Arabidopsis thaliana: one gene and its partners. The protein of the gene in region 3 purifies or fractionates together with the protein of the main gene of each other region. This does not show direct contact. Each region holds a gene or a part of one and is shown on either strand. Other genes may lie near its edges. The genes, in order: AT4G19006, EIF2, AT3G02270 and AT5G67630.

Region 1 (5,729 bases), on a different chromosome or scaffold from region 3:
GAAATCAATTAATTGCAATTAGTACATAATAATAGTGTTACAACTAAATTAATTATTTTACTAAACTATTCCGTCGTTGGTTTATTTCCCGATCAGAAGTAAATATTGATCGCTGCAGAATCTTAAACTCTGCTTCTCTCTAATGGCGGCGACACATCTTCACATACCGCCAAATCCTAAAACCCAAACGTCTCACCAAAACCCTCCCTTTTGGTTCTCTTCTAAAACAGGAATCTACACCAGCAAATTCCCTTCCCTACACCTCCCCGTCGACCCAAATCTCGACGCCGTCTCCGCTCTTTTCTCACACAAACACCACGGCGATACAGCGCTCATCGATTCCTTAACCGGGTTCTCAATATCTCACACTGAGCTACAGATTATGGTTCAATCAATGGCGGCTGGGATCTATCACGTTTTAGGTGTTCGTCAAGGTGACGTTGTATCACTCGTCTTGCCTAATTCCGTCTATTTTCCGATGATTTTCCTCTCTTTGATCTCGCTTGGTGCTATTGTTACTACCATGAATCCTTCGAGTAGTTTAGGAGAGATTAAGAAGCAAGTTAGTGAGTGTAGTGTTGGATTAGCTTTTACTTCTACTGAAAACGTTGAGAAGCTGAGTTCTTTGGGGGTTAGTGTGATTAGTGTATCTGAAAGTTACGATTTTGATTCGATTCGTATCGAAAACCCGAAGTTTTACTCCATTATGAAAGAAAGTTTTGGGTTTGTACCAAAACCGTTGATTAAGCAAGACGATGTAGCTGCAATTATGTATTCATCTGGAACAACTGGAGCTAGTAAAGGAGTTTTGTTAACTCATAGGAATTTGATAGCATCAATGGAGCTTTTTGTGAGGTTTGAAGCTTCTCAGTACGAATATCCGGGATCGAGTAATGTTTATCTAGCAGCTTTGCCTTTGTGCCATATCTACGGGTTATCACTCTTTGTGATGGGATTGTTGTCTCTGGGATCAACTATTGTTGTTATGAAGAGGTTTGATGCTTCTGATGTTGTTAATGTAATTGAAAGGTTTAAGATCACTCATTTCCCGGTTGTTCCACCTATGTTGATGGCATTGACAAAGAAGGCAAAAGGAGTTTGTGGTGAAGTGTTTAAAAGTTTGAAGCAAGTTTCTTCTGGAGCAGCTCCTTTGAGTAGGAAGTTCATTGAAGATTTCCTTCAGACTCTTCCTCATGTCGATTTGATTCAGGTCTCTGAATTTTACTTTTGGATGTCGTTTTAGAAAACTGAATTAAATGTTATTCATTCATAAACTCAATAAGAAGTAGAATCTACATTTTTTAGAAAAATTTGACATCTCTTCCCAAAAGAAACAACTAAAATTGATTTAACGAGGCCATGACTTTTTGACTCACACTATTATTTTCTTTACATTTAGCTGAAAGTGTGTATAAAATGGATCACATTTTGTTGCAGGGATATGGAATGACTGAATCAACTGCAGTTGGAACACGGGGCTTCAACTCGGAAAAGCTTAGTAGGTATTCTTCTGTGGGACTACTGGCTCCTAATATGCAAGCCAAGGTAGTAGATTGGAGCTCTGGTTCTTTCCTTCCACCAGGAAACCGAGGAGAGCTCTGGATACAAGGTCCCGGTGTCATGAAAGGTAGATAGATTCTTCCTACTGTACTTCTTTACCAAAATAGTTGAGATTTTCCTTCTCAGTTCATGAATAAAGTCTTTTGTCAATGGTTCAAATCACTGAGAAACACTTGCATCCTAATAAATGTAAATATAGATTGGATCTTCCAACTTTCGTGGGGCTTATTTGGTGCTTGTGTTGATAGATTAGGCTTATTATCTTGTTCTTGATTTTGTGCTACATATTTTTATGGAACAGTTTTAATTTTACTTGGAGAGAATCTGAACACCGTTCATTTGTCTGTCAGGATACTTGAATAACCCAAAAGCAACTCAGATGAGTATAGTTGAAGATAGTTGGCTACGTACTGGGGATATTGCTTATTTTGATGAAGATGGTTACTTGTTTATTGTTGACCGTATTAAGGAGATTATAAAGTACAAAGGCTTTCAGGTAAAGGAACAGCAGTTTCTCTTTCAGCCAACTCTAAATTAGGAAATATTAATTCTTTGCATTTATGGTTTTTGCAGATCGCTCCAGCAGATTTGGAGGCTGTTCTTGTTTCACATCCCTTGATTATCGACGCTGCAGTAACAGCGTAAGTTCGAAAAAACAAATCTTGATCATTTACTAAACTAGTTTAATAAGTGAAAGATACTGCAAATCCAGTTTTGGAGAATTCGACAGAGTCTGTTACTCTACTGAAAGTATCCAAACTTTCCATTTCAGTGCCCCAAATGAAGAATGTGGAGAGATTCCGGTAGCATTCGTTGTCCGGAGACAAGAAACAACACTTTCAGAAGAAGATGTAATAAGCTATGTAGCTTCTCAGGTTAGGTTCCCACTAATTCAAAATGGCTTTTCCCATTTCAAAACACTGATCATTAATGTAATACATTATTATACATTACGTGTTCTAGGTTGCACCCTACAGGAAGGTGAGGAAAGTGGTGATGGTCAACTCTATACCAAAATCTCCAACTGGGAAGATATTGAGAAAGGAACTAAAGAGAATTCTTACAAACTCTGTTTCTTCAAGACTATGATTCTTTCTTCATTTGTTTGGTAATAAGTAGCAGACAGAGAGATCCACTAATATAGCCTTCATAACTCAATTCATTGGTTTTGTAGCATCAAAAGAAATAAACAGACACATTCTTTGATTCTCAGTGAATAAAGCATTGTAACCCAATACGGAAACAAAAATTCTTTCTGAGCCCAAAATGTAATTTTAGCCTTAGTATTTTATTTACATAAAAGTCCTTTTAATCGTTGGCTATTGCATTTATCGCCCAATACTTGTCTTTGAGCTCAAGAAATATAGTTTACTAAAAGGCTGGGTTTTTCTGGATTTCTTACTCCCAAACCGATACAAGATCGAAGCTTTGCCTTCTGTTTCTTCGAAAATCTACCATGGCTGCTCTACAATACCTTGAATCGCAGAAAAATGCGCACCCAGAGCTTGGTGAGTGGTACAATTCGCTCGCAGATCTGTACCAGAAGAAGCTCTGGCATCAGCTCACTCTTAAGCTCGAGCAGTTCATCGCTCTCTCTGTCTTTCAGGTCAATCTCTTGAATTTTCATCGTTTCGTAGTTCTTCTGTGTGATTAGGGTTCATAGATCTCGAGAAAGTTAATAGGAGTCGTCATGTTAGACTTGGGTTTATAGAGAGATCTGAAGGATTCGTTCCGACTCTTAGGTGATTTTTCAGATTCATTGAAAAGCTTTGTATTGGTGAATTATCGCACTTCTGTGACCAAAGCTTTCGAATATTTTAGCTCAGAGATACCCAAAAACTCAGCTTTACAAGGTTTACAGATTTGTTAATGACGTGTTTCCCCCTGTTTATGTTCATAATCTTTGCAGGCTGGAGATGCTTTAATACAGCTTTACAACAATTTCATCACTGACTTTGAGACGAGGATCAATCTTCTGAAGCTTGCGCATTTCGCTGTTGTAGTCTCCCGACAGTATCCTGAGAAAGAAGCTGCAGTTAGTTATCTTGAAGGAGTGATTGAGAAGCTTAAAGCTACTAAAGAGTCAAGGATAAATGAACCAATTAGCTATATAGAAACACAAATAGCTTTGTTCAAGCTTGAGCAAGGTGACCAGAAGGAGTGCAAGAAAATCTTGGACGATGGAAAAAGCCTGCTTGATAGTATGACTGACATTGATCCATCAGTTTATGCCAACTTCTTTTGGGTCTCTTCTCAGTACCATAAAGTCCGTCAAGAGTTCTCTGAGTTCTATAAAAATGCTCTTCTTTACCTCGCTTATACGTCTGTGGACTCACTCTCGGAATCATTTAAGCTGGTACGTCCCTCTGAATGTTCTAATCATTCATATATGATATATGTAGTCGTTACGTTACCAAATGGTCTTTTAGCAATTTTGGATAAGTATTAGCACTCTATGAAAGGAAACTTACAGTGAAAAATGCTTTATCTCTGTAAATTGCTTTGTGTTCCAATCAAAATGTTAATATCATATACTTTCGTTTCTTTCAGGATTTGGCTTTTGATTTGTCGCTTTCAGCTCTACTTGGGGAGAATATCTATAACTTTGGGGAACTGTTAGCCCATCCAATTGTAAGTTTCCCTTCATCCTCCAAATTAGCAAACCACAGATTTATTCACCATTATAGATAAAAGAACACTGACATGTTATATATGTTATGGCAGTTGAAAAGTCTGCTTGGAACAAATGTGGAATGGCTTTACCACATTCTACAAGCATTCAACCACGGAGATTTAGTTCAGTACCAAGAACTCTGTCGTGTGCACAATGCATCGTTGAGTGCTCAACCAGCACTGGTTGAGAATGAGAAGAAACTATTAGAGAAGATCAACATTCTCTGCCTTATTGAGATCATTTTCAGGTATTCATTCTCTGTAGGAGTCATCTTATACCCATATACAGATGAAAACAAACTTAGTACTTAACTTGTATATAACATCTTTGCCACAGCCGACCTGCTGAAGATAGGACCATACCTTTGAGTGTCATTGCCGAGCGTACTAAACTTTCAATCGAAGATGTTGAGCACCTTCTCATGAAGAGCTTATCGGTGAGTACCTTTTTCTTTCCTCTCTCTTTCTCTCTATCTCATTCTATCAGTAACATTAAAAATCTAAAGAAGATTGGCAAGACGCAGACTCGAAATCTTCTTGAATGTGTGATTCTGTATTGGTTGATTGTGAAAACTGAGGAGAATGAGTTATTGCAGGTGCACTTGATAGAGGGAATACTAGATCAGGTGAATGGAACAGTTTACGTCTCATGGGCGCAACCGAGGGTGTTAGGAATACCGCAGATCAAGTCATTGAGGGATCAGCTAGACAGCTGGGTCGATAAGGTTCACACCACATTGTTATCTGTTGAGGCCGAGACACCTGATCTTGTTGCAGCTTAAACTCTTCTTTCCTCTTTTTTCCTTCACTGTTCGTTTAAGCTACAGATTGTAACATTCTCTGAGGATTAAATGCAACTTCCTTTTAAGTTTTTAGGTATTACAGTTATACTTTTGAACTTTGTTCTCCACAGACACATGAATCTATCCTATTAAGTTGAGTTTCATCGTTAGTGTTGCCTTTAAGGCTTAAGCCTATTTGCATAACAAATGGTCCAACTTTTGTTATTAGACGTGTGAAAAACTCATAAATCTCAAATAGTGGAATGAATCCAAATTGTCAACTTCTGAAATGAAAAGTGTAAGGGTAAAATAGTCAAAACATATTAAACCCCAATTATCACCATCGTTTCGTTTCAATCAAAATTTTCCGATTTTGAGATTTTGAAACAGAGCAGTCAAGTCTCAAAGACTCCAGCTCATCTGTCTGCTTCGTAAGCTGCTCGCTCTCTAAATGTTTTGTCTTCTGGGGAATAGATTTTAGGGATCATCGGTAGATGCTGTTGGATTGACATAATCCAGATCTGATTTCTTCTACAAAAACATAGCTTTCTTCTCTGGGAACAATAGATTTTGATTGTTGTTTCTGGGTTTTAGATTTCTAATGTTGGGGTTTTGGTGATTCGATTTCTCAATAATGCTTCAAAATCGAAAATTGAATCGGTTAGAGCTATTTTGGGAATCTCTTTGCGTTAATTCGAATTAGCATATTTGCAG
Region 2 (5,744 bases), on a different chromosome or scaffold from region 3:
CGTCGAGTATGTGTTTTCTCCGTGTTATGTTTAGTCCGTCTCATAAAATCATGAGAATTATTGCAAATTATCGTAAATTTTCAGGTTTTAAATAAATGTAACCCACAACTACTATGAAAATGATTCGAATATTAATTTATCGGTTAGCACTAATACGTATGATACTACGTCAATGTATAAATAAAGAGAAAAGGCAAAGGCTATGGAGACCAATAACCATAGAGTGAAGGTGGGTGAAGTGGAATGATAAGTTAGATTACTGTGAACAATGTATGCAAGTTGTTCACTTACATCACAAGTGCATGCACGTCTTTAATGTTGACCCATCTACACACCGGCCTACACATATTCTTCTCAAGTTTGATATGTACATGTACTGGTACGGTCGTATATGTCTGTATAACATCGTATGTAGTACGTATGTTGACAGAGAAACAGGCGTATACATTTGCTATCAAAATCCATTCCACAAAAACTCCCCTCATGTTTTTACAACACAAACTAAAATAATCAAGTTTTTAACCACAAAAACTTCAAATACTCGTTCGGATTCAGCGAAATCAGTTTAATGTATTCCGATACATAAACCGTAGCTCTAATTTAGCTTATCAGAAAGACAAAAAAACGGGTAAAAAAATTGATTGTGTTAGTTGTGTAGTGAAAGCAGGAAATGAAAAAATTGCTGAATGATTTCAATCGCAAATGTTGTGTAATATTTAGATATTAACTTCCAATAGTGTCTATTATATGCCAAAGTTAGCATTATTATATGCAACCGCAAATCGCAAATTGTTTACAATTTAGAAGTTAGTTTCCAATAGTGTCTATTAAGCCTGTTTTGTAAGATCCTACATAGGCCAATCGCAATACGGCAAAAGAGAAAGCAGTAATTCTAGGCTTCTATACTCTTTCAATGTAACATAGCTAATAGAGAGAGACCATGATCCAAAATTCTGAGCATAAATATCTCCAGTGATAAAGATTAGGCGCAACAAGTGGCAAATAAAAAAAGAACAAAGCTCATTTATATGTATATTGTTTAAAATTAGGCACACCAACTAAAAATCCCTTTTAAAGACCTTAATTCACGAAACAGAGCATTTTGTCTTTCTTAAACTTGCAATTTAGGAACACTACAACAAGAAGCTGATTCTTACATAAACTTGTTAAAAGAAAATTCGAAACCAAAAAAGCAGCATTCCCCATTTTTAGCAAAACCTTGTGTTTCCAAGCTTATTATAGCATTTGAGCAGCTGTGTTTAGCTTCTCCGCTAGACTCAACTGTGTCCTTGTTATGCTTGATAGGTACAACAGAAGCAATTGGTCCTGAAATAACAGAAGAAACAACCATTAGTTTTTTACAAAGTGTTTTGCTTTGGCTTGAAATTTACAATCTTTTACCTGGAGACTATCATTCACGAGGTTATCGAAGACTTGTGGAGGTAACTTGGGAAGGGAGGCTACTGCATCTGCAATGAATCGTCCAATGTTGTTGTCTGGAGCTATTTGACCTCCCTGGGAAATTTCATTAAAACTCTGTATCAAAGATCATGTATCTATGGTCGATAATAGACAGTCAAGGATATCATAAGCTTACCACGACACTGTCAACATATTTGTAGACATCGTTGATTAGAGTTAACAGCCTCTCCATTGTTAACTCCATTCCTTCCAAGTCATTTGGGAGTTTGTCAACAGATGTTGCCTTAAGTACATCGACTGTGGATCAAAATGATGTTTTTAAATCAGTCACAATCATTAATCTACTGAACAGACACAACCAAAGATCATCTATTCCCGTTGGTTCATTCACAATCATTAGGGAAACAATCTCTAGATACTGAATCAACCATGCAGAAACTGAACTACTTAGACAATTGAGGAATGAGGACTGTTATGTATTTTGAATATAGAATTGGTTACTAATAAAAGGATAGAATACTCACATCCGACTCTCTCAGCATCAACCATGCGGAGATCAACAGGAATCTCTTGAAAATGTGCAACGAGTTGTCGATCACCGAGTGAGAGGTTTGAAGAGACAAAAGCTTTGATAGTACCCTCACCATTAGTAAACCCAGTATCCACAGTTAGGTGAATTGGGTTGGGTACTTCTCTAGCATAGAAATCATGAATCAGCGAACTACCGCCATTAACCCCAGCACCAGTTGAATACCTGCAAATCAATAAACTTGTTCAATCAACTATTCCAAAATGAGAAACTACCTAATGCAGTGTTCCAACACAGCTACAAGAATCATGTGACAAAGATATGAGACTAATCATGAGAGTATAAGAGAATAAGAGTGGGAAACGAGAAGTACCAGCCGACAATAGTTTCCTTTGAATTCACCTTAAGGTGTGAAGCTAACATATTGTGGTGGTAATCAATATCCACAGCAACCTGCATCCATATCAAACCATAACCCTCAAAACTTATCACAAGTCACAACCTTGGGGTATGAAGCTAACACTACTCCTATAAACATTCACATCCTAACAAGCAAATCTTCAGCTACGAAAGATCTAGGATCTCCAACGATAGAGAATCGAGAGAGAGGAGAAATTTAGAGATCAAAATTTCGAACCTGATCGGATGATTCATTGTGAGGGACGGCGTATGAATTGCGGATATCGACGGTTCCGTCAGGTAAGATAGATCCGAGGAGAGTTCCGATGACTCGTTCAGCTGAGTCAGGACGTCTCACGAAGCAATCACAGACGTTAAAGATAACGAGAGGGTGGATCCTCGCCGTGAGTACAGAGGTTGTAGCGGACGCCGTTGATGACGGAGACACAAATTGCAAGATGGTGTGCTCGCTCGTCGCCGCCATGGTTAAGATTCTGAGAAGGGGTAAAAGGCGCGAGAGAGTGGAGATTTAGGGTTTCCGATGTGAGCGTCAGAGGAAGGTAGGAGAAGGCATCAATGATACAGAAGATAGGTTATGTGCCAGTGGGCCTACAAACAGGCCCATTAAATGTTTTTCTTGGACTAATGAATGAATACTCATTCAAACACTTCCCTTCTTTCTCTTAATGAAATTTGTTGAACACAAAAAACAGAGAAAGGCAATGTCGTTTTATACATCGGTTTGGTTACTCATCGTCGGTTTGGGTTTTTTATAACGTTTTTGTGTGTGTGTTTATCATTGAATTTTGAATATTATACACTGTGAAAGTGAAATTGTGTTTTTCTCATAATTTAACATCTACAAAGGATAGGTGTGAAATTGTGTTTTTCTCATACACTAACATCTACGAAGGATAGGTGGTGATTTGTTGACGATTAGTCAGAGCATATAGATTAGTCGTTACTCGTTAGTAGACCACCCATATTTGAATTACGACTTGTGGATAATTCAAAGTATGGATTACGATATTCGTAAATGTTATCGTTTGTTAAAAAATCTCATAAATCATATAAAAATGAATTTGTATTCAAATATGGATCGTCAAATGTTCCAAAAATTTCACTATCTTACAAACTAAATTAAACCAAACCACCAATTTAAATTTATATTAAATAATTATACCAGCAGAAATTAAAATTTAATCATCCCAAATGACTCCAAAACTCTCCCAGAAACGTCTTTGCCGCGTCAAGGCTCGGGAAATACGTCGGCTCCATAAATATCTGACTCAGTGAGTCACACGACTCTTGACTCGCCGTCGCGTTCATCTCCGCACTTCCCATCATAGCCGCCACTAACTGCCTATACCCAAAGAAGAAACTCTTCGCCGCCGCTTCCACCGCTTGCATCCCCTGAAGCAAATGAATCTTATCGCACTCTGTCTTCCTCGCGTAAAGCTTCATCGCCGCCTCTTGTAATCTTGGTCCTCCGGTTGGATCTACCTCAACCGCCAAGACCGCCGGTACTTTCTGTCTCAGATCTTTCGACATCTTCATCATCTCCACTAATCCTTTAGATCTGAAACAAAACGCATCGTTTTTACCCGTCGATTTGATCTGTAACTGTTTCTTCAATTTCAAAAAATCTTCCGGATCCATCAACATATGAAGATCTTCAATCTCCGCTAAAATTTTCCAGATCTTCTCCAGCAAGTAAACATCGTTTGAAGCTTTTCCGAATTTCTCTTCTTCGATACTTGAGACGATTCGATTCAGAAGATTTCCAGATGCGTAGATCCACGATTCGAGGATCTGGTGAATGATATAGAGAGTTTGATTCTCGTGATTATCGATATGATCTGCGTATGGATTATCCTTGAGGCTATAGATCTCGTTTGGTCGGCAAATCGCATCGTACCGGAGATTTGGTTTTCCGGCGATGTTTTGTTCACCGAGTCCGAGCGTGTACTTACACCGACTCATCTCGTTATCGATCGTATATAAGATCTTCTTCCCCAAAGCCTCTGATCTCCTCCACGTAGCTAGCTGCGGTAACAAACTCAACGAACTCCGTCCACCGCCGACCGGAGCCTCCGCTGATATACCTTCTTCTTCTTCATCTTCGCAGATCGCTGCTACAAGCTGGATCTGCTTCGTGATGAGAGAATCTAGCCTCCGGTTCCATTCACGGTGGTTGATGTACGGTCTAGTATCAGAACAAACGGCGAAAACTAATCTGAAACTGATCTCCAAAGCTTGAAGAGCTGGTTTGAGAATCGGCTCTGATGTCCATTGAGGAAAATCACGAGATGACCAGAGCTTTCTTAGCTCAGGGAGACGAAGGTAAAGCTCGTAAGCAGAGCAAAGAGCAGGTGCTGAACATGAGATCGGAGATGAAACAGGGACGATTTTGAACGGTGATGGAATAGTTACGTGAAGCTTTGAAGAAAGCTTAGGTGAGTTTGGTAAATCTGATGATACCATCTTCCTCTTCCAATCCATATCAACCATTTTTATTTTTTTAAGGTCTGTGTTTTTTTTGGTGTGTGTGTTTGTGTTTGTGTGTTAAATTTTGAATTTGAGGATGAGTTTAGGATACGAGGAGAGTATATATAGAGAGAAATGTGGATAGAGGATGGGGACGAGAAAAAAGGCGTGTGGAATAATACCGACGCGACTGATTTGAAAGTCAGCGTAGAAACGCGGTCTCCTTTTTAAAAAAAAAAAAAACCAGTACTGTGGATTAATTTCAGGATAATCTTTTTTTCGTTTTTTGGCTTTATATTGCTTTTTGAACTGTTTTCTATGAAAGGTAAATGCCTGATGATTAGTCGAATGTTCAGTAATCTGATTTCTAAGGAAATATCGAATATTTTCTCGTTTTTGGTAAGATATTATCTTTTAATAAAAGTTAAAGTTAAAACACACAGTCATGTTCATAACATGTTAATACATATATAGAAATGTTTTATTTGATGATATATGCGATGTAGTATAACATTTAGGGGTTGATCGATAAGAATATAAAATTTTCTGCAAATACATTTTTGAAAGTCAGTCATGCGTTATGGGTTGTCACTTATGAGCAATATTTACAAGCTGTAGATAGTTTTTGATCGAAGCAAATATATAATAATTTTGATAGTTGTCGATCTACAGCTACAAGTTCAACTAATCATGCACATGGTGTTTTGAATATATATCAACAATCGTAAAACATAACAGGTGTCATGTACCACATAAAACTGAAAGAAAACAATGTTTTAGTTGCAAATATGAAAAACGTCATTTATTTTCTATAATGAATTGAATAGAAAAAGAGAGAAAAATCACGTATTTGTTTATGTATATTTATGTATAAAACGGACAAAATTGTGAAATTTTAGTAGCGTAA
Region 3 (5,731 bases):
AGCGTTTCCGGTCTGAGAGGCATACAACACAAGCAGCTTCCTTTGTTTTTCTCCCATCGCCGCCACTGCCACCACCCGTCCGAATAAAGAATAACTGCACAACCGGATCCCGGTCTGATGATTTAAATTGGCAAGTTAAAATCAGAACCGAATTAAATCGAGAAATCTTAGTGGAGAACCAAATGTTTGTACCAGAACAACAGGGCATCTGCCAAGCCAAATTGATCTTGAACCAATGTACAGTGTGTTCTTCTTCTTCTAAGAGAGATGGTGAGCTTTCTACTTCACAGTCGTGCGTAAGAAGAAATCCATAAGGAGAATAAGATTACTTTCACTGTGGATTCGCCCATACTTAATTGAGAAGAACAGACTGCTAGGTTTTTTTTTTTTTTTGAAAAATACAAAGTCAAACTTGTAAAGTATACAATACGAATTAAACCACTAAACCAACATCTATATAACCGTATTTAACCAGCAATCCACGTATCAGAACAGAAATGTTGGTTTTTTCTTGTCTTGTTGATCTCTTAGCTTAATCCACCAAAAGACACAACAACACAATAAGTGGAAGACATGCAAAATTAGTTACAGAGCATAGTGCCTTGTAACTTGTAACTCGAAAATAAGACAAAAGTATCTGAAAAAAGATGGCTAGCAACATACATAGATGGACATTTTTGTCTCCACCAAAATCACAACTGTAATCATCTTCTCAAAATCAAAGGTAGAGTAGTTAAATCGTTTCAGACCTTACTCAAGTTAAGAAATACCTTGTCGAATATCTCAGAGGTTCGTTTTATTGTCATCTAATTTCCGATTATATCCCAAGTGTTGCAAGGCTTTTATTGAACAGCTCAAGTGGTTTGCATTGGTGGAAACATCTGTGGGACAAGTAAGAAAATTTGAACCTCAATTGTTCAATTTCATTCTTAAATGGAGCCTCAAATGGGGAACTTTTAGTATATATGTGTCTTAGAAGAAGCAGAGTTTACGCATGTATTCATTTTGTTATCATACTGTTTTTATGTTAAATTAGTAACAAAAGTTTTCATACTCTCTGCTTATGCCAACATTGGTGGTTACTTATGATTCCTATATAGGTCAGCAGAAGTATGTGTCTCATGTTCCTTGGTCTTCCAATGTGTGAAAGCGGTATGCAAAACCAAAAGACTTGGCGGTGGCTTTGAAACAAGATCAGCTTTCATTGCTGCCGCAGCTTCTGGTCCTTGTTACCTATTAAATCAACGATCGTGAAACTCACACTGGACAGAGATGTGGATAAGATGATAACTTGTCATCCCCATAGTTTCGTTGGTATCTCTATATTTCTCTGTTGATAAATTAGGATTGTTATTTTCAGTTGCATGTTAAAACAATCGAAGAAGCTTTTTACATGGTTTTGATGAAATGACAATAGATTTCGGTTCGGCGTACATAGGTTTTGAAATTACAAGTGATTTCTGTTTGGTTTAGATGGTTGTGAAATGAAAATTAATTTTGGTTCGGTTTGTATTAGAATAGTACGGTTTTGAGAAAAAAAAAACAAAAGAAAAAGTCACTCGAGGCTGTTTTGGAAACAAAGCGAGTAGATGTAAAATAGGCATGATTTTGTGGGTTTACCCCTACAGAAATCGACGACACGCGCTCAACGCGAGGTTGATGCGAGTGGGCGTGGTCCGGAGCGCGTGACGCGAAGTTGGTGCGAGTGGGCGTAGTCCGGTGCGCTCTGATTGGTTAGAAAAATGAAAATAGTTGTGTAGTAGCTCCTCCACTTCTCCTCTATTATTTCGTTTTTCGTCATTCTTTAGTTCTGAAAGTTGTGTAGTTTTAAGATTCAATTGAATCTTATTACGAGGTTTTTGGTTATTTTGAAATCATTGATTACTGTCACAAAAAAAAAATAGAAACTAGATTTTGAGATACTAAAATTTTTATTTTCATTTTGTTCTGCAACCATTAAAACTAGATTTAGCTGAGCCCCTAAAGAAATCAAAGTGAGTTGATATGTTTTCTTCACTAGAAAAGTTTTTGCCACTTTTATGACATAGTTATCGAGTATACTATAACATTATACAATATTTTTAAAAAATAGCATAACAATTGGTTTATACCATAAAAATTAGAGATGAGCTCTAACAAAAGTTAAGCTTATTAGAAAAAACACTAAAAGCGTAGAAGATTACTTTCATGGTGGATTCGCCCAAACTTGAGTTGAGAAGAACAGACTGCTAGGGCTTTTTCTTATAGTTTTCGTTTTTTTTTTTTTTTTTTTTCCATCTCTTTTAGTTTTCGTTTGGGACATTTAATGTCTATAATTAATAACAAACGATTGGGCCTTAAATTTAGCTCAGGCCTGGAATAAGCCCATATAGTCCTCGTTTTTATGTCACTCTCAAAACCTCGAAAGTGGTTTCTATCTATCACTTGGGCTTTTATTACTTGTTAAAACAAATTTGATCCAAATCTCAAATGGAACCGACAAAATAGAAAATCCGGTTCTCTCAAAAGGCCAAACACGTGACGTTTAGGAACAAAAAAGACGTTATCACTGCAAGAAGTTTTGACTTTGAGAAAGTCTTTGAATAATCAAAACAGAGTTTTTCAAATTTCCCAAGTCTGAAATGGTACTCGCACCCTGCAGACATTTTCGATCAAAATTTTCAGAGAGTGAGAGAGAGAGAAGGGAGATCAGATAATGGCTTCTCGTAAGAAACGTGCTGCGAAGATTTCAGAGGATTCAGAGGAGGAACAGAGTCGCCGTCAACGGTTACAAGCCATTCTTCTCGCTGACAGTTTCGCCACGAAACTCCTTCCCTTAACCTTAGAACGCCCCAATGTCTTGTTACCGCTAGTGAATATTCCCATGATTGATTACACCTTAGCTTGGCTCGAATCTGCTGGCATAGAAGAAGTTTTCGTCTTTTGCTCGATGCAAGTCATCGATTATCTGAACAACTCTGACTGGTACTCGCACAAAGACTTTACGGTAAAAACTATAGAGTCACCGCAAAACTCCACCAGTGCTGGTGATGCTTTGCGTTATATCTACGAGCAGCAGATTGAGACGTCTCAGATTCAAGGTGACTTTGTTCTTGTTAATGGATGTATTGTTAGTAACATGCCCCTGACGCAGCTGATTCAAGAACACAGAGATAGAAAAAAGAAAGATGAGAAAGCTATCATGACTATGGTTATCAGACAGTCACTCATCACCGATCATCAACTCTTCATCGCTGTAAATCCTTTAACAAAACAGCTTCTTTATTACGATGAGGACAACATCTGCTTCGATAAATCATTGCTGGATCGTAATCCATCTGTTTTGTTATGTAGTGATATGCAGGATTGTTACATTGACATATGTTCTCTTGAGGTGCTTAGTCTATTTGTGGATAACTTCGATTACCAACATATGCGTTGTGATTTTGTGGAAGGTGTTCTTGCTGATGACATTATCGGTTACAAGATTTTCACTCATGAGATTAGCTCGTGTTATGCTTCTAGGATTGAAAATTTCAGGAGCTATGACATGGTGAGCAAGGATATAATCCAGAGGCGGACATTCCCGTATGTACCGGATATGAAGTTCAGCGGAAATCGCACTCTTAAGCTCGAGAGACAAGGGATCTACAAGGCTTCTGATGCTACTCAGTTACCATCTGCTCATGTTGGAGCTTCCTATGTCATTGGACATGCCACAAATATTGGGAGTGGGACTAAGATCTTGAACTCTGTTATTGGGAATGGATGTTCTATTGGATCAAATGTGGTGATCCAAGGCTCATACATATGGAACAATGTTACGGTTGAAGATGGATGTGAGATAAGGAATGCTATTGTATGTGATGAGGTGAAAGTGTGTGCAGGAGCTATTGTGAAACCTGGTGTTGTGTTGTCTTTTAAGGTTGTAGTCGGGAGGGACTTTGTTGTACCTGCATATTCACAGGTTTCACTACTCCGACAACCAATGGAAGAAGACAGTGATGAAGAAAATCTTTTGTCAGGTGTAGATTTGCAAATGGAGTCTAAGCTTGGTCTTGATGGAGCAGGTTACATATGGCGCCAAGCGTGTGAAGACGAGTGGAAGCATTCTGTTCCACCAATCCCCAAAGATAAACTTGCTGAGATCATTAAGGCCATTGACGATGATGACACGGATGATGAAAGTGTTGTCACAACTTCCGGCGATGCTAATACTAGTATTAACAATGATCTCTTTGACTTTGAGAGAGAGGTTGATGGCACCTTCTTAAGGGCTGTCGAAGAGAATATTGTAGCCGACCTTGCGGTTTTGGAGATAAACTCACTCCGGTTGTCATATAACATGGAATCTGCACATTGTGCTGGTGCAATATTCTACTCTATGATGAAACTAGCAGTTAGTACTCCACATAGCTCTATTAATGACTTGTATAGAAACGCATCGAGTATCATTACTCGATGGAAGGGACTTCTTGGGTTCTATGTAAAGAAAAGTGATGAACAGATAGAAGTAATATCGAGATTGGAAGAGATGTGTGAAGAATCTGCTCATGAGTTGGGAACTTTGTTTGCTCATATTTTACGTTATATGTATGAGGAAGAGAATGACCTTTTGCAAGAAGTTGCAATCTTGAGATGGTCGGATGAGAAAGCCGGAGCTGATGAATCTGACAAAGTTTATCTGAAACAATGCGAGCCATTCATAACGTGGCTCAAGGAAACATCTGACGATGAAGATGGCTAATGAATTGGTGGTAAACATGTGTTCGTTGGCTCCCAAAAGGAACATTCTGATTGATTATTTGCATCGAAGAGATTACTTTGTCTTTTTTTCCATGTGTTATTCTAATGATGTGCTATTTTATATCTCATCCATTACATGTATGAGGTATATAAATACAACTTTTATGTTTTTGTAAATGTATTATAGGAAGCTTATTACAGTATTTCCCAAAAAAAAACAATTATAGTTATCTAACGAATTAGAGAAATTTAACTAAGTGAAAAATAATAAAGGAATGATCTAAATATTAATTTTTGGGCTGATTTTGAAAGAAAAGAATAAGGAAATGAAAACGAAGAAGAAGGAACATCGTCTTCTCCACAGAGTCCTCTTTCACCGCCTTTGATTCTTTACTTATAAACCCTTACCTTCCTCTTCCTTTTGTATATACCTATTTCTCTAGAAACCTTTTTCCTCATCGAACTCTTCTTCTTTCGCCTCGCCAGAAATGGCAGATGACTTGGCGAATCTCTGCCGATTTCTCTTCGACGACACCGCCTTTCCCTCTTTGTCGTCTTCGGCATCTTCAGATCTCTTTTCTCGCCGTTTACGCTCCGATGATTCGATCAAGCGCGGTCTCCGTTCTTTCTATCTCCTCCTTCGCTGGGGTGTCGCTCCGATCGGCGGAGACGATGCTGATTCCTCTGGCAAGCTACGCTTTGAGACATGGTCCGATTCGCAGCTTCAAGCTCTTGTTTCGATATCTCAGGCGATCCTTCTACTATCTCGATCTCTATTAGGTACTGACTTGACACTGAATCAAGGTTTAGGTCGGTATCAATTTAGCTGTCCATTTCTAGTTCGTCTTCCACTTTCTGAGCTTTGGCATCTGCTTTTTTTGTTGCTATCCTAGATGAGTTACTAGTTATTTTCCATCTGAACAGTGATGATCTCGAATCATTTTCCTTACTGTTTTTTTTTTTTTGGTGTATCTTAGTGGACCAACTCGAACCAATCGTTTTGGGT
Region 4 (5,730 bases), on a different chromosome or scaffold from region 3:
ATTGATGATTTGATAACTAATTAAAGGGGAAATAATAAATAATTAAGAAATATTTTCAATATGATCAAAGTTTTTTTTTTTTTTTTTTTTTTTTAACTTTATGTAATTTGTTTTATGTATGGATTGATTGCTGTTTTTATGGCTTCAATGTGTGATACGAATCTCTGAAATGATATCCGAGCAACACGTAAAACTATGTCCAATTTTACATGTTATTTGAACTAAAGTGTAGTTGATAACAAAATCTTTATGGATTTGATTTATTTGAATATTCATTCACATATTTCTTATCACAATCCGATTGTTTTTTTGTTTTTTTCATCATATCACAATCCGCATCATATCACAATCCGATTGTTTCGAAGAATAAAAAGTACTATTACAAATAAAGGCTGTTCCAAAGGAAGCTGTTGATTCAGAGTTACGGTAACAGTGAGAATGATAAAATGTAGTATGGGACCCATGACGAGTTGAATCAGATGTCACAATGGCAGAGTACCTAAAGACACTGCGACTCTTTACTGTCAATAGATTTGTTCGACTTTTTATAATGCATATTTTTGGTTGGATTCACCAGCGTGTGATGTTTGTTTTTTCTAATTACTTGCAAGCGATGTGTAAATTAGATTAATTCAATCCATGAGTTTGGAACAATTTGTTTGGCCTTCTATCATTAACTCTTGTTCTACAAAGCCGTTTGTTTTGAAATCTTTATTCAAGAAATTCAAGGACACACGTTTATTCATAAATTTAGATAATATTTCACTAAATAAGTTGAAATTGACCCGACCAAGCAAAATAAATTCGTTACACCAAAACACGCCACCAAAAACCGATGAAGTCTGGTAAGAGAACACTCGTAATTAATTTACTCTGATGGTAGAGACTTGCATGCGTGTCAAATTTTGCGAACAACACACGCTTACATGTATTTAATGATAAGAGAGAGATTCACTATACTCGTCAATATTGGGCTTAAAGCCCATATAAAGTCTTAACGGGCCAGACTAATTTAGTAAAACCATCTCCTACAGTCTAGTCTAACCGAACCGAAATAAGTTGACCAAATCCAAACAAAATCAAATTTGTACCAAACCGATCTGTATTGAACTTGGTTAAATCATTTTCTAGAACCGAATCTCGTCACAACTTAAAAAAAAAAAAACATAAATCCGAGTTCAACATCCTAATCATACATATCACCACGAAACATGATAAATAAGGCAAACAGAGGTGGATCCTCAGATCTGCATAGCATCTTGTTCGTCTTCTGCAGCAGCTTCATCGTTTTTGATTGGTTCACTGAACATATACTGACTCTGATACTCAACAAGATACTGCATCGATCTCCTCACATCCAAGAACAGTCTGTAAACTCTCTGAATATCCTCAACCTCCACGACTTTCCCTTTCCGTTTCTGGCATGACAATGCAGCTGCGGTTATAAGATGAATCGCATACCTTAGAGATGTATCACGTCCGATCAATGTCAAAAGCTGTTTGGCCTCTTCGTTCATCTCAACGTCTTCCTCTTGGCAACGGATTTCTAATATCTTCCTTATGTCATCGTCTGTGTAAGGTTGGGTAGTGATGATGAGAAGACGGTCAAGGAGATCAATCGGGATCCCGTGTGGTGATTTCTGGTTTGTGCCACGGATTGTCGTCACTCCTCGGTTTGTTGCCACCACAAGGATTGGTGACATTTCGTTTTCTAGAGCTCGGTTAAGGAATGAGAAGCATTCGATGTCGAGCATGTGGACTTCATCAATGAAGAGAACTCCGGGAACTATCTCTGCTTTTCCTTCTTCTCTCCATTCAGCTACTTTTGTATCAATTTGTTCCCGGACTTCTGATCGGATTTCTCCAGTATCGCCAGTGAAAAGGGCAAGAAACCCTTGTGTCCTGCAAGCAAACAAAGAAGAAGTACACAAAGTTACTTTTTTTTGTTCTACCAATCATGTTTCAAACATTAAATTCCGCAACCAAAATTGGTTCTAACGATACCACAAACAGATGAGTTAGTTATAGTTATAAAGAGTGCTCTGACTACACACTGCTAAAGAAAATGAGCTTGAGAATTTCAAGAGCATATAAAGCAATGAATTAATCTCAAATTTGAGACATCTCATCTGAAATTAGTGAGCCAAATCAACTAAATTCCCAATCACCTAATCACTAAAACTTCAATTTTGCAACCTACATTGGTATTGCAGATACCAAATCATGATTACCAATGTTTACAATTCAGGGAATGTTAAAAGTACCTGCTGTTGATAACATCAATCTCGTGAAGAGTGACACAATGTACAACCTCTTTCCTCTTCTGCAACTCACCTTCAGGGCACTGCACAAACTTGGTCTGCGCACCCATAGCATCATAATCACGAGACCTCGAAAACGATCTTCCAAGCTTAGTAATCTTCCCAGTAGCTTTATCAATGGCAATAACATCACCACTCTGCACTTTCTCCTTGTTCAAAGCCTCAATCATCTTAGCTCCCATATCATACACAGTTTCCATATCAGTCGTTTTCATAGTCATCTTCCCTGACTTGGAAGCAACACCAGAAGAAGCAGGCCTATCAATCTGAACCTCAACAACTTCTCCTTCAATAACCTCTGTCTCTTCTTTGATCCTAACACCAATCGCTTTACGAAAAGACTGAGTCAAAGCTTCTGTCTTTGACATCTCTAATGAGAAAATTTCACTTCCTGCAATCATCGCAAAAGGAGTTTCCAAGCCAAGAGATTTCGCCATACCCATTGCAATCGCTGTCTTACCCGTTCCGGGTTGACCCGCTATTAGAATAGCCCGACCCGCGATTTTCCCTTCTCTAATCATCTGAAGGATTACACCGGCGGCTTTACGCGCCTTCACTTGACCGACCATACCTTCGGAAACAGCTCGCGGCTCGAGGGCAGAGTCGAGACCTAGTCCTCTGATGTGTGAGTGTGCGCCGATTCGCTCGACTCTGGTTAAGTCCCGACTCTCTGATAGCTTTAGTTCCGCCATATTCGATTATCGTCTTCGTGCGATTGAGGCGGAGGGAGAAGAGCAAAAAGTTAAGGTTTTAGGGTTTAGAGAAAAGCTACACAATGGCAATGACGATGTAAGAGTTAAATCCTCTTAACAAGGGCATAAAAGGAACTCACAAATCTTATAGACGAGAATTATAAATTTAGTAATATACCCTTGAATTATTAAAGATGAAGTAATTAACTCTTAGATAAAGGTCTGTGATAATTTGAACCCTAATTAGGAATTTCAGGGATTGCATTGGATCCATCCTGGATATTCTTAGAACTCTCTTTGGCCAGTTTCTTAGCATTTCTTCTCTTCTTGACTTTTCTCGTCTTATCATTGTCACCGATTAGTCCTACCAAACAAAAAATAAAGAGTCAGACGCGTAATGTAATTAATACACAAAAGAGAACGTTTGAGTAATTTGCACAGGACCAACAATGAGACAACAACTTGATGAGCTAGTAGATTTTGATTAAAGTCAAACCCTTGATCTGAATACGTACATGTGTTATGAAATCTAGTTAGATAAAGTACGAATTTTTCCCAAAAGATTTGAAACTAAGGATATCGTCAAAAAAGTCAAAAGCTGTGTGTACCTTCTTTCTTCTCTTGGGCATTTGGTCGAACAAGTTGTGAGCATATGTTGCTAATGCTCCCATCAACCTCTTCTTCGCCACCGTCAGAATCTTCTTCTTCAACATTGCTCCCACAAGCATCTCCGACACTTCTTTCATCATGGGTCTGAAGCATTTCAGTCGGAAGTAAAGGTCCGATGACTTTCTTCCGTCGAGCTGCTTCCTCTTTGAGCATCTTCTTCCTTAACCTCTTTCTCTGCGCTCGACTCTGTTTCTCTGCAATCCCCAATTCGTCTCCGATTTCTTTGTCTTCTCCGTGATTAGATGAATCGATTTTCAAGTAATCCTCTGAATAATAAACAAATTTGAATGTGACTTCCAAAGTGTAAATAACTTGTTAAGATTACATTAATCGTACCTGGGTTTATGAGTGACACATCGAATGGTTCGTTATCAACAACCTCCACCTGAAACAATGGCGGGAACATTTATCGATTCATAACCCAATCGAGAACTAACAAATTGACACAAATAGAGATTGAGAAAATACCGGAGGCGGAGAATAGGAAGGAGAAGAAGGTGGCGATGAAGGAGGATACAGTGTTTGAAGAAGAGCTTCGTGAAATTCTCGACGCTTTTCTTCTCGCCGTCGCATCGTCGGCACTTGGCAGCGAAATCTCCGTCTAATTCATAAGATGTGTAACTTTTTTTTTTTTTTTTGTTCATTATGTCCCTAAACTTTAGTGGTAACTGTATTACTACTCCCAATTTTTTTGATATAGTATTGCACCCACACAAGTCAAAGAGTTCACGTCAAATGTAACTAAAACTTTTTTTTTCCTTCTTTCTTTAATAAACACATTTTAAAAAAAAACACATTCTTATTCCATGATTGCAGGAAAAGTCGGATTCACGAATAGATCTTGCTAAAACGTCAAAACTTGACGAAGAAGCAATAAATGATAAGATCGAGATCGATTCTAAGGGATCGATATCGACAAGGTTTTGCAAGTCCTCCTTACAGGGCTTGAACACAAGCTCTTAGGGTTAGGAGTCCTTTTTTATAGGCTTTACACAAAACACTCTTTAAAACTCTTTAATCAATAATCAAAACTAATTACAATACTAAATTACGTCTTTTCAAATAAGAGAAAGATAAAAAAAAAAACTAACATAAAAGAGAAGCAAACGAATACAAGTACTAAAAGGCTAAATAAACATGAAGCCCATGAGAAACAAAACCCAAACAACGAGCCAGCCCAAACGGGACGAACAACACGTTCGTCTTTGAGATACGCTGCATCAGCCCTTCTGGGTTAGAAAGATTCGACCCAAATCTGAAATCTTTGAAGACATCCTTTGTCCACCAATTCATAATACTTTCTCTTAAGAACTTTATGGCGTTTCCTTTTCAGCCTCAAGAGCGACTTGCTAAAGCTTCCTCCATATAAAAACTTTGTTAAATGAATTCCAAGATTCCTTGAACACATGTGACCAAGATATCCTCTGTCTTTTTGGATAAACTCATCACCTCGCAGATCTTTCCTCTCCATTTAATTGTTGCCTGCATATCCAAGCTGAAATCAAGTAACTTTCACATGAACACAACATTGACTGCATTCATGTTCACATGTCAAGAGCTTGCTTGTTGTGTAAGCAACGTCACTCCAACACATAAATATTGTGGACATGTAACAGAAATCCGATTGTGGGTTACGAACAGTTCTGTTTACCCATTTAGAAGCTCCACTCAATGCTGACTTGATGTTGACAAGATCCTGGTGGTGGTGCAAAATGTGGACCTTTGACAAGTCACCGACAAAAGGTACGGCGTCGAAAGAACTCATTACAACCAAAAAGCGACTGTTCTCGTGAATAGTATGATTTCCGAAAAGTCCACAAGTGTTGATCTCGTTACAATTCAACACATTATCCTTCCACCTAAGACATGTTGCGACCCCAACGTAGAACCCCAAGTGTTTGATAAACACATCTTCTCTTCTCTTTTTAGAAGCCACAAATGAAAAAGTATCCCACAGCAGCCAAAAAAATGTAGAAGTCTCCCAGCCAACAAAGCCACTTTCCAATAAAGATTCAAATGGAGGCACCAGATGTTGAGCAAAATAGACA

The links.
Region 1: the proteins of AT3G02270 (region 3) and AT4G19006 fractionate together in Arabidopsis thaliana (co-fractionation; one large-scale study listed by BioGRID). This does not show direct contact.
Region 2: the proteins of AT3G02270 (region 3) and EIF2 fractionate together in Arabidopsis thaliana (co-fractionation; one large-scale study listed by BioGRID). This does not show direct contact.
Region 4: the proteins of AT3G02270 (region 3) and AT5G67630 fractionate together in Arabidopsis thaliana (co-fractionation; one large-scale study listed by BioGRID). This does not show direct contact.

The regions. Positions count from the first base shown.
Region 1 is NC_003075.7:10,408,635-10,414,363, reverse strand, and holds AT4G19006 (Proteasome component (PCI) domain protein), read left to right. Parts: upstream 1-2,896; 5' UTR 2,897-3,016; coding exon 3,017-3,166; intron 3,167-3,469; coding exon 3,470-3,916; intron 3,917-4,110; coding exon 4,111-4,191; intron 4,192-4,284; coding exon 4,285-4,481; intron 4,482-4,570; coding exon 4,571-5,015; 3' UTR 5,016-5,216; downstream 5,217-5,729. Other genes in the region: AT4G19010 (AMP-dependent synthetase and ligase family protein), read left to right, coding at 143-1,210, 1,438-1,627, 1,911-2,056, 2,134-2,201, 2,333-2,435, 2,524-2,649. UniProt on the Arabidopsis thaliana protein: Acts as a regulatory subunit of the 26S proteasome which is involved in the ATP-dependent degradation of ubiquitinated proteins.
Region 2 is NC_003071.7:16,697,096-16,702,839, forward strand, and holds EIF2 (eukaryotic translation initiation factor 2), read right to left. Parts: upstream 3,215-5,744; 5' UTR 2,835-3,214; coding exon 2,589-2,834; intron 2,405-2,588; coding exon 2,325-2,404; intron 2,177-2,324; coding exon 1,947-2,176; intron 1,720-1,946; coding exon 1,598-1,719; intron 1,516-1,597; coding exon 1,402-1,515; intron 1,327-1,401; coding exon 1,237-1,326; 3' UTR 946-1,236; downstream 1-945. Other genes in the region: HSPRO2 (ortholog of sugar beet HS1 PRO-1 2), read right to left, coding at 3,554-4,861.
Region 3 is NC_003074.8:447,972-453,702, reverse strand, and holds AT3G02270 (Trimeric LpxA-like enzyme), read left to right. Parts: upstream 1-2,695; coding exon 2,696-4,726; downstream 4,727-5,731. Other genes in the region: AT3G02280 (Flavodoxin family protein), read right to left, coding at 1-57; BIG (auxin transport protein (BIG)), read left to right, coding at 5,214-5,535, 5,703-5,731.
Region 4 is NC_003076.8:26,966,294-26,972,023, forward strand, and holds AT5G67630 (P-loop containing nucleoside triphosphate hydrolases superfamily protein), read right to left. Parts: upstream 3,108-5,730; 5' UTR 3,014-3,107; coding exon 2,265-3,013; intron 1,903-2,264; coding exon 1,242-1,902; 3' UTR 1,085-1,241; downstream 1-1,084. Other genes in the region: AT5G67640 (uncharacterized protein), read right to left, coding at 3,253-3,377, 3,622-3,948, 4,019-4,067, 4,151-4,255.